Macaca mulatta: one gene and its partners. The protein of the gene in region 1 purifies or fractionates together with the protein of each later gene. This does not show direct contact. Links are inferred from orthologs where the notes say so. Each region holds a gene or a part of one and is shown on either strand. Other genes may lie near its edges.

What was found. Proteins that work in one complex are often made in the same cells at the same time.
Region 2: the proteins of FBXW8 (region 1) and SKP1 purify together in Homo sapiens (affinity purification with western blotting; 14 studies listed by BioGRID and IntAct, with this or other methods). This does not show direct contact. The link is inferred for Macaca mulatta from reciprocal best matches to the Homo sapiens genes FBXW8 and SKP1.
Region 3: the proteins of FBXW8 (region 1) and CCT2 purify together in Homo sapiens (co-immunoprecipitation; 3 studies listed by BioGRID and IntAct, with this or other methods). This does not show direct contact. The link is inferred for Macaca mulatta from reciprocal best matches to the Homo sapiens genes FBXW8 and CCT2.
Region 4: the proteins of FBXW8 (region 1) and CCDC8 purify together in Homo sapiens (affinity purification with mass spectrometry; 3 studies listed by BioGRID and IntAct, with this or other methods). This does not show direct contact. The link is inferred for Macaca mulatta from reciprocal best matches to the Homo sapiens genes FBXW8 and CCDC8.

Annotation. Positions count from the first base shown.
Region 1 is NC_133416.1:124,175,951-124,180,037, reverse strand, and holds the start of FBXW8 (F-box/WD repeat-containing protein 8), read right to left. Parts: upstream 2,802-4,087; 5' UTR 2,729-2,801; coding exon 2,411-2,728; intron 101-2,410; exon of another isoform or gene 1-100. UniProt on the Homo sapiens protein: Substrate-recognition component of the Cul7-RING(FBXW8) ubiquitin ligase complex, which mediates the ubiquitination and subsequent proteasomal degradation of target proteins.
Region 2 is NC_133411.1:143,076,122-143,080,188, forward strand, and holds the start of SKP1 (S-phase kinase-associated protein 1), read right to left. Parts: upstream 2,802-4,067; 5' UTR 2,702-2,801; exon of another isoform or gene 2,533-2,701; intron 1-2,532. UniProt on the Homo sapiens protein: Essential component of the SCF (SKP1-CUL1-F-box protein) ubiquitin ligase complex, which mediates the ubiquitination of proteins involved in cell cycle progression, signal transduction and transcription.
Region 3 is NC_133416.1:76,712,769-76,717,013, reverse strand, and holds the start of CCT2 (T-complex protein 1 subunit beta), read right to left. Parts: upstream 2,802-4,245; 5' UTR 2,735-2,801; coding exon 2,732-2,734; intron 2,020-2,731; coding exon 1,945-2,019; intron 1,537-1,944; coding exon 1,471-1,536; intron 773-1,470; coding exon 661-772; intron 353-660; coding exon 276-352; intron 139-275; coding exon 26-138; intron 1-25. UniProt on the Homo sapiens protein: Component of the chaperonin-containing T-complex (TRiC), a molecular chaperone complex that assists the folding of actin, tubulin and other proteins upon ATP hydrolysis.
Region 4 is NC_133424.1:58,899,859-58,904,104, forward strand, and holds the start of CCDC8 (coiled-coil domain-containing protein 8), read right to left. Parts: upstream 2,802-4,246; 5' UTR 2,666-2,801; coding exon 1,025-2,665; 3' UTR 841-1,024; exon of another isoform or gene 414-840; intron 1-413. UniProt on the Homo sapiens protein: Core component of the 3M complex, a complex required to regulate microtubule dynamics and genome integrity. It is unclear how the 3M complex regulates microtubules, it could act by controlling the level of a microtubule stabilizer.

The DNA.
Region 1 (4,087 bases):
TCAAGCTTACTTTATTGTAAGGCTACAGTATGTAACACACATAAAATACAAAATATGCGTTATCTGACTGTTACCTCTAAGGCTTCTGGTCAACAGTAGTTAAGTTCTGGGAGAGTCAAAAGTTACATGCAGATTTTTTACTGCAAGGAGGTCAGTTTCCCTAACCCCCCTGTTGTTCAAAGGTCAACTGTACTTGATTTACTTCTTTACTATTTTTGGCATCAATGCCTATACCTCTAAGGTGTTACAAATGGAAAGCCTTGAGAATCAGGACCTTAAAGCAAAGGAGGCTATACAGTAGAGTATAATGTCTGAAACTTGCCTGATCATGCCAGTCATCCGATTTCAGGACCCCTTCCCTGGTGAGGGAATTAGCAGGTCTGGGGAGGGTCCAGAACTTTATTATAACAAAGCCTGAAGGGATTCTTACGCAAACTCAAGTGCACGTGGTGAAACTTGGAATTGAAAAGACCTGGATCCAAATTCAATCCCCAGAATCTATCAGCTGGGGTAACGCTGGGCAAGTTACAGAGAATCTCTGAGTTTCTTCATTTGTAAAAGAAGAGTTAAAATCTACCTCACAGGATTGTTACATTCGAATTAGGGCAGAGCACAGGACTAAACACTTGGTAAAAACTCAAATAGGAGCTATTAATGCTATTTGAGTAAACTACACATTACATGAAATAAGCCGTTATTTCTTGAAAGTTTGCCACTTAAAGAATTATTCTCCCCAGCACTTTGGGAGGCCGAGACGGGCGGATCACGAGGTCAGGAGATCGAGACCATCCTGGCTGACACGGTGAAACCCCGTCTCTACTAAAAAATACAAAAAAAATCTAGCCGGGCGAGGTGGCGGGCGCCTGTAGTCCCAGCTACTCGGGAGGCTGAGGCAGGAGAATGGCGTGAACCCGGGAGGCGGAGCTTGCAGTGAGCCAAGATCACGCCACTGCACTCCAGCCTGGGCGGCAGAGCGAGACTCTGTCTCAAAAACAAAAAAAAAAAAAAAAAAAAAAAAAAAGAATTATTCTCGGCCGGGCGCGGTGGCTCATGCCTGTAATCCCAGCACTTTGGGAAGCCGAGGCAGGCGGATCACGAGGTCAAGTGATCGAGACCATCCTGGCTAACACAGTGAAACCCCGTCTCTACTAAAAATACAAAAAGAAATTAGCCGGGAGTGGTGGCGGGCGCCTGTAGTCCCAGCTACTGGGGAGGCTGAGGCAGGAGAATGGGGTGAACCTGGGAGACGGAGCTTGCAGTAAGCCGATATCGCGCCACTGCACTCCAGCCTGGGCGACAGAGCAAGACTCAGTCTCAAAAAAAAAAAAAAAAAAATTATTATTATTCTCAATTGGGAGGATCACTTGAGCTCAGGAGTTTGAGACCGGACTGGGCAATACAGGGAGACCTTGTCTCTACCAAAAAAATTTTAAAAATTAGCTGAGTGTGGTGGTGCATGCGTGTACTTCCAGCTACGCGGGATGCTGAGGGAAGAGGATGGCTTGAGCCAGGCAATTTGAGGCTGCAGTGGGCCAGGAGTGCAACACTACACTGTAGCCTGGGCAACAGGGCAAGACCCTGTCTCAAAAAAAAAAAAAAACAGAAAAAAAAAAAGTGGGTTCCCAACTGGAAAGCTGTAGAAACTTCCTTTGGGCCTAATTTAAATCAAACCATTAGAACCTGGTGCCTTGTCCGCTTAACCTGTGAGCCACGGATGCATTTCAGCTGTTCTTGATTTTCCCAACTTTTTGAAGGTGGTTATTTTTAACGGACAGAGGGTCCCCAGCTTCCTCCATATTCTCCAAGGGATCCATGCCCCACAAAAAGATAAACTCTATCCTAATTAAAGTGCCCAAGAGATTCTTCCTCCTCTTCCTCTTTTCTGAGTTAATTTTTTTGCACGGTTGCAAAAATTAAATAGTGCAAACAGTATACAAAGAAAAGGCAAAATTCCTTCCTATCCATTACCTGGGTCCTCCTTTTCAAAGGCAACCTTTGTTCAAAGTTTAGGTAGCTTTCAAGAGCAGGTTTCTCAACCCCACACTTACTGACATTTTGGCCTGGATAATTTTTTGTGCGTGCTGTCCTGTTCATTGTAGGATGTTCACGAGCATCTCTGGCCTCTAACCACTAGATGCTCAGTAACATGCACACAAACACACCCCGATGAGGCACCCAAAAATGTCTGCAGACACTGACACACCTGGGGGAACAAAATCGCCCTGGTTGAGAAGCGCTGCTTCCAGAAAGACCCTATGCACGCACAAACATCGGTGTTTGTGCGTCTACTCATTTTCTCGGGCAACTGATGGCACAGAGTTACTCTCCAAATCACTGCAGGGGTTTGTCCTGGGGGCGGGGGCCGGCGCAGGCATCGGGGGGCGGGGTGGGGGAGGCGACGGCCACTCACCAGGTCGCGGATGAGCTGGTCCACCAGCTGCTCCCCGCCCCCGGCACCCTCGCGGGCCAGAGGAGAACGGGAGCGGCTCGCCACGTCCTGCCCCTCGGTCCGAGTCGCCCGCGCTGCCGGGGGCCTCCCCGCGCCCTCCAGGAGACCCTGGGCCAGCGCCGGGTCCCCCGAGGCCTGTTCGCCGCGCCCGGGGACCACCTCCGGCCGCCGAGCCCACCTCTCGGCAGCCTCGGGCCGTCGCCGCTTCCTCGGCGCCTGGGCCTGCGCCAGCTCCTCCTGCCAGCGCCGACGGAACTCATCCAGGCTGCAGTCGTCCATATTCACTGCTCCCGGCGCTCCACGTTCTCCTCGGTTCCACCGGGTGCCACGGGACAGTCCCTTCCACGGAAGTGTCCGCCGCGGCCGGAAGCCGCTGTTGCCGCAGCTCTAGGGTTCCGGGTGGGCGGCCACGCCCCCGCCACGCCCTCCGCGCTGCCCCTGTGCGCAAGTGGTGGTCTGGCTTGTGGTGCCCAGGCGGAGGTCTACGCAGCTGCTCTTCAGCCGGTCAGCTCTCCTGCCTATCACTTTTGCTAAGCTCTGACTTTGCGCCGAGCATTGTTCCTTCATTCAACAAACATGCATTGAGCGACTACTATATGCCAGGCACCGAGAATTCAGCATTTAAATCTGCAAAACAAAACAAAAAACCCTGACGTCTGGGAGCATGCGTTTAAGTGGGAAGGGAGACTTTAAACAAAGAAATATGAACATTTGAATCAGTGATAGGTATTAGGAAGAAAACAAAATAAGGTAAGGTAAGGGGAGTAAGGATTGATAGTGAAAGTCTCTTTAAGATGTTATTTGAATTAAAATGTAAAAGAGAATCAATGGGTGGATAAAGAAACTGGTATATACATATGGTGGAATACTACTCAGCCATAAAAAGGAATAAATTCACGGCATTCGTAGCAACCTGGATGGGGTTGGATACTATTATTCTAAGCGAAGTAACTCAGGAATGGAAAACTAAACATCATATGTTCTCACTCATAAGTGGGAGCTAAACTACGAGGATGCAAAGGCATAAGAATGACACAGTGGACTTTGGGAACGGGAGACGGGGGAGAAGGGAGAGTGGGAAGGTGGGGAGGGATAAAAGACTATAACTTGGGTTCGGTGTCTACTGCTTGGGTGATGGGTGCACCAAAATCTCACAAATCACCACTAAAGAACTTACTCATGTAACCAAATACCACCTCTTCCCAAAAAAACCTATGAAAAAAATAAAAAATAAAATAAAATAAAATCCGAAAGAGAAACCAGCCAAGGGAAGGTCAGATCTTAGGAGAGAGATTTCCAGAAGGAAATCCAAGGGCTTTAAGATGGGAAAGAAAGTGACATACGATGGCATTCCACTTAAAAATGTTTTCTTTGCACCTGAATTCCCTCAGCCGGAAGTTCCCCCCCCACCTTGACCTGGTTAACTCCTACACATCTTTCATATCTTAACTCACATTTCACTTAATCTTCCAACCTCCACTCAAGAAACATCAGGTATCCCTGTTATTCATTCTCACAGCATCCTGTACTTCTCATCATAATCCATAACACAATTTGTAATTTTATTTTTATGTGTGTGTATGTGTGTGTGTGTGTGTGTGTATATATATATATATATATATATCCCTTCCCTTCTAG
Region 2 (4,067 bases), on another chromosome or scaffold:
ACCTACCTGTGAAGATAAGTTCAGATCCAGAGAGTAAATGAGAATATGCTGATTTATGTCTGAGGCAATGCAAGACCATATACACAAGAATAAAATGATTTAAAGATAAGCAGATGTGAGTACAATTCCCTAAATCTAGTAAGAAGCTTCATTTCAGAGCGCTTTTTATCTTTCAGTACTGACTGTCCAACTGACCAACTTTGAGATCTCTTGTCAAGAGCTCCATAATAATAACCTATTACTTGCTCTGAAAATGCATTTATTAACTCAGAGTAATTATGAGTCACTAGGAAAAAGATAATCTTACATAAAAAGTTAGGCAATTAGGCCAGGCGTGGTGGCTCACGCCTATAATCCCAGCACTTTGGGAGGCCGAGGCAGGTGGATCACGAGGTCAGGAGATCGAGACCATCCTGGCTAACATGGTGAAACCCCGTCTCTACCAAAAATACAAAAAATTAGCCGGGCGTGGTGGCGGGCGCCTGTAGTCCCAGCTACTTGGGAGGCTGAGGCAGGAGAATGGCATGAACCCAGGAAGCAGAGCTTACAGTGAGCCGAGACCGCGCCGCTGTACTCCAGCCTGGGTGGCAGAGCAAGACTCCGTGTCAAAAAAAAAAGTTAAGCAATTAATTCCAAAGGACTTGAGTTCTGGCAAAAAAAAAAAAAAAGGAATTTAAAATTAAAAGTCCAACAATTTCTTACCATCTTCAAATTCTTTTTTTAAAAAAGAAAACATACATAAAAGAAAAACAACAACAAAAAGAGTAGCAATACCTGGTACAGATTAATTCAAGGCCTCTTAAAATTCACATACAACTTTTAAAAGGCCCATGCTTCTCAAGTATTCATAATCCAATGATGTCACTATTAACTTATGGTACCTCTGAAGTTTTCTAGGTGTGTTGTATTAAAAATCGCATATATTTTCACAAAAGTGTATCATTTGGCATTTAAAACATGCATCACACCCATTTTATGTTCAAAGACTTATGACCCATTACATCGGTTAAAATATTCATTCAGCTTCTCTGAGACAATTGTCCGCAACCCCAAAGCAAACAGGTTCTTAGGCAAAGGAAGCAAAAAAGTAAAGCGTGTTTTAAAACCAGCCACTGAAATATCCTACTCTCACTCATCCATGGTTGGAGAGAATCAGATTTCACTTTGCAATTCACAAACATGTCTGCTTCTCCATGTTGCTTAGCGCTTGCCAATAATGCCGTTGTCCCTGCTCAATGAAGAAGGACCCAGAGTAGAGGACCCTTCCTGTGACAAGACAACAATAAAAGGTATCTCCAAAAGAAAATATTTTAACGTGAGTCCAATTTTTAATTATAAAACATTTAAACATGTAATTTTTATATCAGATAGTACTGAAATGAACAGTGCAGAATCACAAGTCTAACAATGCAGTTGATAAAATTACTCTAAAAGCAAGACGACCGTTTCATATTTCTTTCAAATAACTCAAGTGCTTAGTCATAGTCAAATTCGTGGATTGGGTTACTCTTAAGGGAGTTGAGATCTTACTAAATAGCAGGTAGGTAATCGGTTAAATCTGTAATTCGATGCACTTGGTAATACTAAACTAAAAGATAAGTTTTAGTGTTACAGTAGAATAAAGTGCAAAATTTTTAAGTAATAATGGATGAAATTTTGATTTGAAATGTTTTCAAAACAATTCCATTCTAAAGAAAGAGGCCTAAAGGCTCCTGCACTTGTAAATAATTCTCCATGGCCAGCATAAAGTGGGTTCTATCACATCATAAAGGGAAAAAAACCCCTGCGTTTTAAGTGACCCGAAATTCTGCCACTGCTTTTTAGACTGCACAGTGGAGGAGACTATTGTTCTATGACACAGATACATTCTATTGTGACGCTCTAATGGAAAAATGCATGTTCCTAAAACCCAAACGTGAAGTTCCCACTAAAAGTGAACCAAAGCAGCTGGACATCCTATTTCTTTAAAAGCCAGACACTTCGAGTTAAGTTATACACAGCTCTTACAAGTCACACCACTCTGAAGATGGTATCTGCTATCACAATAGTTATTTCAACGACTCCAAGTCATAGCAAAACAACGCGAAGAAATATTTACAAGGAACAGGCGGCTATGTGCAGAAACTCGGCGCCCGCACACAGTTAGCCAGGACCGACGGGTAGCTAGTGACGCCAGACACGGGGGAGAAAGGATGGCAGCCAAGAACCGGGCGGCCTCAGACCACCACCGCAGCTCTCCCTCCCGACCACAACAAAAGCCAGACACCGACACACGCCCATGCTCACGACAGCCAAGGGACCCCCATTCACAACCCCGCCGCCACCCCCGCCCTAGTCCCCGGGACAGCAGGCTTAAGGCCAAGAGAGGCCCCCGGCCATAGCCTGGGCCTTGCAGCCGAGCCTGCGCCGGCTGACGCTCGGCCGGTGCAGAGAAAGCCCAGCCCGGGGTTCGGCTCACACTTATGGAGCGCTGTGAGGACGCGCGGCCAGAGCAGGCCTCGCTGAATCGGGGGCGGAGAGGGTGGACGAGACCTGATGGTGTCTCCCGAAGAACGGGGTCGACAACACGATCCACCGGGCCCGAAAGAAGGCCAGGCCCAGTCACCGCCCGCCGCGGGCAGGCCCAAACCGCAGCAGTGAGGCCAGCCTGCATGCAATCCGGGAGCCACGACCCTTTCCAGCTCAGTGGGCGGCTACTCACGGTGTTCGGTGTTAAGGAGACTGCCGGCGGGAGGCTGACGAGAGCTAGGAGACGTCAGCGGAGGAACAGAAAAGCGGAGGACGAAGCCACTACAGCCTCTCGGCGCGGCGCGGCGTCTGCTTTATAGGAGAGGGCGCAGGCGCCGAGGACCCCGGGGCGCGCGGCGTCACACAGCGGCTGGGCTGGCCGCCGAGATCGCCTGACGGCAGGCCGAAGACGGCGGGGCGGGCCCAGGCCGGGAGGCGACGAGGAGCTGCCGGGGCGGCTGGCCGGGGGGTTGGGGAACGGGAGAGCTTTCGCCTTTCCCTAGCTCTGAAAGCGCCGCGCTCTCTCATCAACTGGGTGCCGAACCCTGACTGGCCTAGAAAGGTCTTTCAGGCAGGGGCGCCCTAAGCCGAGTAAAATACCCCAGCTAAACGGCCTGGAAAAAACAAAACGGGGCGTGTGTGCGCCTATGTGTGTGTTCCTGGGAACAACAGAACGGGGCGCGCGCGCGTGTGTGTGTGTGTTCATTCCTGGGAGGGGCTGCGTGTGTGTGTACGCGCGTGTGTTCATTCCTGAGGTGTATGTGTGTGCGCGCGCGGGTGTGTGTGTGTTCATTCCTGGGGTGGGGATGGGGGGGCGCTTGTGTGTGTGTGTTTTACTACTGAACTGATACAGCTTGTCCAGCCTCCATTCTCCACAGTAACCCTCCGAGGTGAAATAGTGTTAGCCTTTTCGCCTCTGCAGTGAGGGAACAGGTTCGGAACGGTTAAGTGGCAGAGCCAGGATTTGAACATTACTCCACAGTTAGGTGCCGTTAGCCCTTATTTCCTACTATTGACTTCTAAAGAGGCTTCCGTGCCAAAAATAGCCATCGTCGTAGGGAAACCCCAAATCTAGAGAGATGGCTTCCATCTAGCAATAGGTACCCATTCCTTCACTAAACATGCTCTGAGCCCGACATGCGAGGCGTGGTGCTGGGGATTCGGCAGTGAACCAGGCAGCCAGGGCCCGGCCTGGACAGAACTCTTGTCTGGGGTGCTCCCAGGAAGGCTGTGATGAGGTCGATGGAATGAAGCCTGCAGTAAAGGAACGGGAGTAGTCTGAAAGCCCCACCCCGCTCTGCTCGGGAACGTTATTCTCCCTGTCCTAGGAGACTGGGCGCCGGGCTCGTCTAGCCAATAGGCACGTGATGGTATCCCTGACACAGGAAGACAAAAGATACTTCCACACAGGGCCCCCTGAAGAAACCGGAGACGTACAGTGCCTCTGGGATGGGACTGGGCAGGAATGCCAAGCAGCTTCTTGAGTTACCAGGTCTTTGTCTACAAGCTGTGGTATCCAGTGTCTGCCAGGTGCCACAGCTGATGACAGAAGATGAAAC
Region 3 (4,245 bases), about 47 Mb from region 1:
AATAGTAGAACTTTGGTGTACCAACCCATGATCGACTGCAGAACTCAACAGTGCCTCTCTTGCAGCCTTTGTGGCTTCTCTCCAACCCGCTATGATGGTCTGTGGATGAATCTTTTTTGCAATTAAAGATTCTGCTTCCTATTAATAGTTATAAAATAAAAGTTATAAATAGAAAATTATTAAGCACTCAACAGTAAAGATGGAGGAAGTAAGGACTTGATTACCTCTGATACTCAAAAACAGTAGGAAAAACAGAGTTGCTCAGTTGCTCTTACCCTTAATAATTCTGCTGCTAAAACGGTAACAGAGGTAGTGCCATCACCAACTTCATCATCTTGAACCCTTGACATATCTAGAAAAAGAAATTAGTTAACTCAAAATTGCTTCTTTGCTTACTAAATTCTCCAAAAATATTCACTACCAATCTAAACTTATCAAGGTTCCTCATACAAAAAATTCTTTGGAACTTTGAGGTCTGAAATGCAACAGTTTACCACCAATATATGGCACTCCTGAAGCTTGTATTTTAACAATGATAATTAAAACCCAGTGGATATCAATTGACAGTACAATTGGTCAACACAGCCTATTTATAAAGTTATTTCAAAAATGTTAACCAATAGTATTATTAGGTTGGTGAAAAAGTATATTCAGACTTACCAACTAAAACTTTAGCTGCTGGATTGTCAACACCAATGTTTTTCAGAATAGTGGCACCATCATTGGTTACCATAAGAGAGGCATCTCGTCCGCTGCTTAGAAGAATTTTGTCCTAAAGGGAACATAATTGGTTCAAGTTAAGATATAAGTACATCTTGAAGAATGCATGGTTCAATCAGTATTCTCATACAGTGCTAGTGTTATCAACACCCTGGATGGCTATTTTGTGGTATCCATTCATCAAATGTTTTCAATACATACACCATGTTAACCAAACCGTGGTATCTACCCCTAGAAACATCAGAAGCACAGGGAGACACTAGTTTTTGTTTCAACACTGTTAACTGCAAAAACAATGGAAAGAAACTATCAGTACAGCCATAATTAAATTATAAAATAATTAAGGTACAGGATAATATTTGACAGTTAAAGAGGAGGCAGTATTATCTACTTACACTGAAAGGAATTTAAAAGACCAAGCTACAAAACAGTATTGATAAATAGTATCTATGTTTTATAAAACAGTATATATTACATGAGTATAAAATACATAATAAAGTACACATAATTCTACATAAACAGAAAATTAGAAGTAGTACATGCAAATTATAACACTACTTGTCACTGAGGAGGGGCATAGGATTGGGGATGGTGATTCTGGGGACTCTGATTTTTACTAAGAACATACTTGTCTTTTATAATTAAACGTTCTAAAGATTAAAAAGCATTTTAAAATGTTTGTTATTAATTATATTTCCACTAAGGGCTCTAAAACAATATTAAAACATAAAACTTTTCTATTTTTCTTACCATGCCTTTGGGTCCCAAGGTGCTCTTTACCAAGTCTCCAATGGCGATGGCACCAATAAAAGAAGTCTGGAGTAAAAACCAAGGAGATTATCAGAATCAACTTTACCGTCTTCAAGTACAGTTTTATCTTTATTTACTTTTTTTTTTTTTTGAGGCAGAGTCTCGCTCTGTCCCCCAGGCTGGAGTGCAATGGTGCGATCTCAGCCCACCGCAACCTCCGCCTCCTGGGTTCAAGCGATCTTCCTACCTGAGGCTCCCAAGTAGCTGGGATTACAGGCGCCCGTCACCACGCCCGACTAATTTTTGTATTTTTAGTAGAAACGGGGTTTCGCCATGTTGGCCAGGCTGGTCTCGAACTCCTGACCTCAGTTCATCCGCCTAACTCGGCCTCCCAAAGTACTGGGATTACAGGAGTGAGCCACCGCACCTGGCCTCCAGTTTTATCTTTAAAACAAAAGTTAGAACAAGGCTTACCAGGCGAGCTGTCTCTGCTCTCTCTTCATCAGCTCCTGCCTTGAAGATGTTAACAGGTGCAAGGGAAAGGGACGCCTAAAAAAGAAAACCAAGAGGCATTTCGTTTAAGTACCAATACTCTAACACATACACTGAGGTGCCTTCCACTTGTCTTACAAGTGGATATCTAAGAGAAAACTCATTTACAATAATGTTTTCAAACAAATGAAGCTTCCATCATCGGAGAAGGCATTTAAGTGGGAGAGAGGGACTTGTAGGAGAGCGACATGGCTTTTCGGATTTACAAGGCCCCAGGAGTATAAACTATACACCAGCGAGACTGACAGTTACCTACGGCTAGACAAAAGACGATGTGGAACTAAGAATGAGGCAGGGAGGGGTTTTTTGCCATCGAGGGGACGCCTGCCATGCGGGCGAGGGAACGCGGCCTCCATCTTCCACCCTCGGGTGGCTCGGGCCCCGCCGCTCCAGGCTCCGCCCCTAGAGGGAGGGCGGGGCGGGTCCCACACTAGAAATTTCTTCGCTTGGGGTGAGGCGCGGGCCTAGGCTCCCGGGACTATGCAAAGGCCTGGGCAGGAGACGCTGGCTTTGCGGTCCACTCCTCCCCTTCGTGGTGGGCTCCACCGGCTGGCCTGGCACAGGCCGCACGCCCCACGGCTCGCACCATGTGCGGCGGGCCGGAAAGCCAGAAACGGAGCCTACAACCCCAGCAGGACAGAGGAAGCAGTGGGGTGCCAAGAGCACGGGGAAGCAGGGGCAGGGCAAGAGACAGGGAGGTCAGGCTCACCATAGTTCCGAGGAATTCCGCACACAAGTGAATCCCCTCACAGCTCGTGCTCAGGGACAGCAGACAGAAGGAAGCCGGAAGTGACGTCACACACCCTACTGTCGGGGGCGGGGCCCCGGCCTTCGCGTCCCTCCGGCTGGCCGTTACCGCTAGCAGGCGTCCCATTTTGATTGGAGCCCCACGGGCCGGAAACGCAGCCTTTCACACTGGAGGGGGCGTAGCCGCCGCTCGAGGACGGAGGAATTGGGCGGTTGAGAGAGGAACAACCCAAGAACAAAGAGGCGGCTGCCGCACGAGTTGCCATAGCAATGGAGTTCTTGCTCACACTTTATTTTCTTAAATTTAATCTTTAAACATTTGTGTTAAAATCACACATGTACACAGTTCAAAGTGTTATGTGCCAATAATGAAACCATAATTTACCTACCTCACCACTTCCTGTCTCCAGGAAAACTGCTTTCAACTTTTTCAGTTTTTTGGGGGAGCTATTTACTATCATATTCCCAGATATGTTAATTTTAAACATTATTTACTGAGTATTACAGAAGAGGACTTCCTTTTCTCTTACTGAATTTTCAAACGTTATTTCTAACTGGACGTTGACTGTCCAGGCTAAGGTCTTGTGAACTGACAGAGACATTTATATAGTATTTTATCTTTGCCCTATTTACTCATTTTCAGGAATTTTTGCATTTCAGTCTTTTTTTTTCTCCAATAGTAGAGACGACTTACTAGTCTTTGTTTATAATAAACTGAAATATTTGGGACTGATCTTGACACTCTTACATGTTTTGGCAGACATCAAGATCAGTCCCAAATATTTCAGTTTATTACAAACAGTTTTCTACTTTCTTTAAGTTGACGGATGTCTAAAGCAAAATTTGTTCTCTAAAAAATTTTTCTGTCATCTACTGATACCCTGTTTTCTCCCTTTGATCACTTAACAAGCTCCTTGGCAGGGCGTGGTGGCTCACGCCTGTAATCCCAGCACTTCGGGAGGCTGAGGCGGGCAGATCACCTGAGGTCAGGAGTTGGAGACCAGCCTGGCCAACAAGGTGAAACCCCGTCTCTACTGAAAATACAAAAATTAGCCGGGCGTGGTGTGCGCATGCCCATAATCCCAACTACTCAGGAGGCTGAGGCAGGAGAATTGCTTGAACCCAGGAGGCAGAGGTTGCGGTGAGCCGAGATTACGCCACTGCACTCCAGCCTGGGCAACAGAGTGAGACTCTGTCTCAAAAACAAACAAACAAAAACCAAGCTCTTGGATTTTTCTTTTTCTGTTTTGTTTTGTTTTAGAGACGGGGTCTCACATGTTGCCCAGGCTGGCCTGGAACTCCTGGGCTCAAGCAATCTTCCTGCCTCAGTCTCCTGAATAGCTGGGGTCTCCTGGATTTTTGACATTGCTAACATTAACAGGAATTTTCAATTTTTAGTTGTTTCTACCCTTTGGATTTCCTCTAAGTGGGTTGATTTCCACCAGGGGTTGGCAAGCTGGGAGGAGTCAAACCCAG
Region 4 (4,246 bases), on another chromosome or scaffold:
ACCACGTCCGGCCAACCACAGCCCCTCTTTTAGGCCTTTTCTTATTGCAATGAGTTTTCAATGTGTCCAATGGCCGAATTGCCCAGATGTTTGGAAGCTTGATGCAAACAGAATTCAGAGCCACACAGGCACCGCTAGCAAATCCACATCTCTGATGCTGAGGGCCCCAGAATCTGTGTTTTGAACGCATTTTTCAGATGCTTTTACTGTACCTTACAACCAAGATCGGGAGAGGTATGCAAACCAAGGGCCCTGTCCCCTCCAAAGCAGCAGAGTCCAGGGGCATGAGGATGGCAAGCGAAGTGACAACATAAACACAGGTGTCTCCATCTTCAAGGATGGGAGTAGAACGGACAGGAAGGGCCGGGTCACCCCCAGAGCATTCGTCAGTTGCCAAGTCCAAAGCTAAGAAACCAGTTCATAAATGTTTTTTTATTTGCATGTTGGCTCAAGTCCTCTTTTTAAGTCCAAGGAGGCAGTCCACGTTAAGTGTGCAGGCAAAAAAGGGACAGGAAAAGCAGGCAATTTCTCCCCTGCCCTCCCGCTCTCCTTTTATCAAGCTGAGCACCTTGAGTTGCATTTGAGGAAATTAAAACTATAGGTGACAGAACCCCCTTGTATCGAATTCTTTCTTTACATTTTTTGGGTTGCTACAAGGAATCACTATATATATGTATATATGTATATATATATATATATTTTATCAGGTGGTACGTGTGGTGGCTCACACCTGTCATCCCAGCACTTTGGGAGGCCGAGGCAGGAGGATCACTTGAGGCCAGAAGTTTGAGGCTGCAGTGATCATGCCACTGCACTCCAGCCTGGGCAACAGAGTGAGACCCTGTCTCTAAAAAATTTTTTAAAAATCAACGCATGAGACAAAACTTTAACAAGAGAATAAAGAGGGTTGTAAGGTGGAGATGTGGGCAGCACTCCAACTCCACTTTCAAGTTCAGAGGCAGAAAGAGCAACTTTCTCTCCCACGCTTGTAGGGAGGGCCCGTGGGCTGTCTCTAGCCCTCACCTCACAGCTGGTCTTCTCGCTCTCCCTGTTCAGCTTCTGCTCTGGCCTCGGCCCTCAGCACCCTGAGGCTCCTGGCCTCGCCTGCCCTGGGGACTCTCTTGGGCAGGGTTGGCAACCGGGGAGTGTGCCAGAAGGCTCTCCGGGGCTTGCGAAACCACGAAAAGCGTCCAGGGGTCTGGAACCTCACTGTCTTGACCTGTTTCCGGGCCCTGGCTCCTGAAGCTGTTCCTGTGGCCCCTTGGGTAGCTGAGGCTTCAGCTTCCTGGATACCTGGGGCCCCTGCCGTCTGATTATGTGCAGCCTCTGCCCTTTGGCCAGCCCGGGCCTGTGCCCTCTGATTACCTGCACCCTGGACAGCTGGGGCCCTTTCCCTCTGGTCATGTATGGCCTCTTCCCTTCGAGGATCTGTAGCCTCTGACCCCTGGTCAGCTAGAGCCTCTTCCCTCAGGTTATCTGCACCCTGTGGCCTATGGTCAGCTGGGGCCTCTGCCCTCTGATTATCTGCAGCCTCTTCCCCATGGTTATCTGCAGCCTCTGCCCCCTGGTCAGCTGGGGCCCCTGCCCTCTGATTACCTGCAGCCTCTTCCCTCTGGTCAGCTATGGCCTCTTCCCTCTGATTATCTGCAGCCTCTTCCCTATGGTTATCTGCATCCTCTGCCCCCTGGTCAGCTGGGGCCCCTGCCCTCTGATTACCTGCAGCCTCTTCCTCCTGGTCAGCTATGGCCTCTTCCCTCTGATTATCTGCAGCCTCTTCCCCCTGATCAGCCTCGATGTCTGCCCCCCGACCTGTGGGCGCTGTCTGCTCCTTCCTGCGGCGCCTAAACGAGGCCCAGTTGATCTTGGGCCTCCATCGCCTAGGGGAGGCCTGCGGGGCACAGACATCTCCCACATTTTCCACAGGATCCCCGGGATCCCCCGGGCTGGTGCCGGAGGATACCCCTGCGCTCTCCACTGGGATGGAGGCCAGCCGGGCCTCGCCCACCCCGGGGCCCGCCCTCGGCGCCCAACCCTTCACCCTCCGCTTCAGCTTCCCCCAGGACACCTGGCTGACATACTCCCGCCACCTGTCCGCCTTGGACAGCTGAGGCCCCAGGTTGTCCTCAAACATGGGCACTGGCAGGTTGACGCGGCGGCGGGCAGGCGGCGCGGGGGGCTGCTTCTCCTGTCGCCGGAGAAATGCCTCCACCAGTTCCTCATCATCCTCGCTCTCCACGTCGCTTCCCAGGAACTTGCTGCCCAGGTAGCTGACGGGCATTTTGCGCACCTTCTTGCCCCGCCGCGGGCCCTGGCGGCTCTTGTCTCTGGAGGTCTCGAAGTCGCTGAACTCGCTGTCGCTGGCGTTGCTGCTGTCATACGTGCCCACGACCAGCCGGGGCGTAGGAGTCACCATCTGCTGCACTCTCCTCCTCACTCGGGGCTCCTTGGGCTTTTTGGGGGGCTGGGGCGGGTGCGGGGTGCTCTTCTCGATGATGCGGGCCACGTCCTCCAGGGTGCGGCCCTGTTCTTCCAGGAACTGGGTCAGCCGCTCCCGAAATTCTGCTTCCTTGGTGGCAGGCTTAGAGATGACTCTCCAGACGCCCCCGGCCAGCCTGACCTCCCGGGGGATGAGCAAATAGTCGACGTCCTCCCCGATCTGCAGCATCCCCACCGTGGAGTCCTCCTCCTTGCGGAACACCTTGCCGATCTTCTTAAATGTTCCCACGGGTTTTAGGGCTTCCACGAGGACGTCCAAATCCACATCTTTGCAGACATCGGGGACGCTCCAAAGAATGAGGCAGTCGGGGGACGGGAGGAAGCCCCAGGGGAACCAGCCCCCCACGTGGCTTTTCTCGAGAGTCTTTAAGATCTCCAGGGTGATATCTGGGGTGAGGGAGCAAAGAGCCCCAACAAACTACTGTAGCCCTTAGTCTTGAGGGAGGGACTGGATGGGGGGAGTCCCAGCAACGCTGACCGCAGAGTCTCACCTCCCCAGCCAGGGACGAGTCAACGCCTCCAATCTCTTCTCCTGCAACAAGTCCAGTCTTGACCAAGTCCGGCTCCTCCACCAAGGACTTGGGAGAATCAATTTCCAGGATGCCTACGTGAGCCGGAGGCGAGGTCAGTCCCAAGGTTCAAGGCCCACTCCAAGCTGGAAACGTGGTGTCCCAGCTCCAAGTTGGGGCGCGCGGGCTGCCAGCGATTCTTCCTGCCCCAGGCCCCTGGGACGCGGTTGGAACTTGGGAGAGGACTTCGCAGACAAAGACGGTCCAGTCGAGGCTATTCAATATGGCGGAGGCGCTGAGAGGCCTCAGCCCGGCCCCCCAGTAGGGTCCCCCGCCCCCAGGCAGGCCACCACCCAGCTCCAGGCTGACCTTGACGCGCCGCAGCCTGCCAGCCCGCGCGCTTAGGGCTCTGCACGGTGGAGCGCACCAGCAGGAAGTTCCTCCTTGCCCTCCGCCAGAATGAGGCCCACCTTCCCCCGTCTCATCTTACACTCCCAGACTCTGGAAGACTGACAGGGGGGCTGTCCACTCCCTTCGGGGCAGCCTCCTTCCCCTCCCCCACAGGGGTGTGGCCGCGCCTGGGGCCTAGCTGGGCCCATTGCTTCCCAGCGAAGCGGCGGTGGCCCACGTCAGCACCTTTGCTGAAAGGCAGCGGTTCCCAAACCTGCCATCCGAAATGTACAAGTTTCCAGCCAAGTCCTGGAGGTGGGTGTGCCAGTGGATTCTACCTTTTGAGAGCCACTGGCACCATAGATTAGCATTTTAAATTCACGCGACTATCCGTACCCGTACACCCAGACGCGTGGGTAGAGAAATGGGTACCGGGATCTTATTGCAACAGTCCCCCTGTGACGCTTGGCAGGAGGTCAGGGCTCTACATATTTTTGAGTGGATGAATAAACCTGAATGTTCATAGCCAGGCGCGGTGGCTCATGCCTGTAATCCCAGCACTTTGGGAGGCCTAGGCGGGTGGAACACTTGGAGGCCAGGAGTTCGAGACCAGCCTGGCCAACATGGTGAAACCCTCGTCTCTACAAAAAATACAAAAATTAGCCGGGTGTGGTGGTGTGCGTGTGTAGTCCCAGCTACACGGGAGGCTGAGGCAGGAGAATGGCATGAACCCGGGAGGTGGAGGTTGCAGAGATGGCGCCACTGCACTCCAGCCTGGGCAACAGAGGGAGACTCTGTCTCAAAAAAACAAAAACAAAACAAACAAACAAACAAAAAAAGCCAAAAAACAA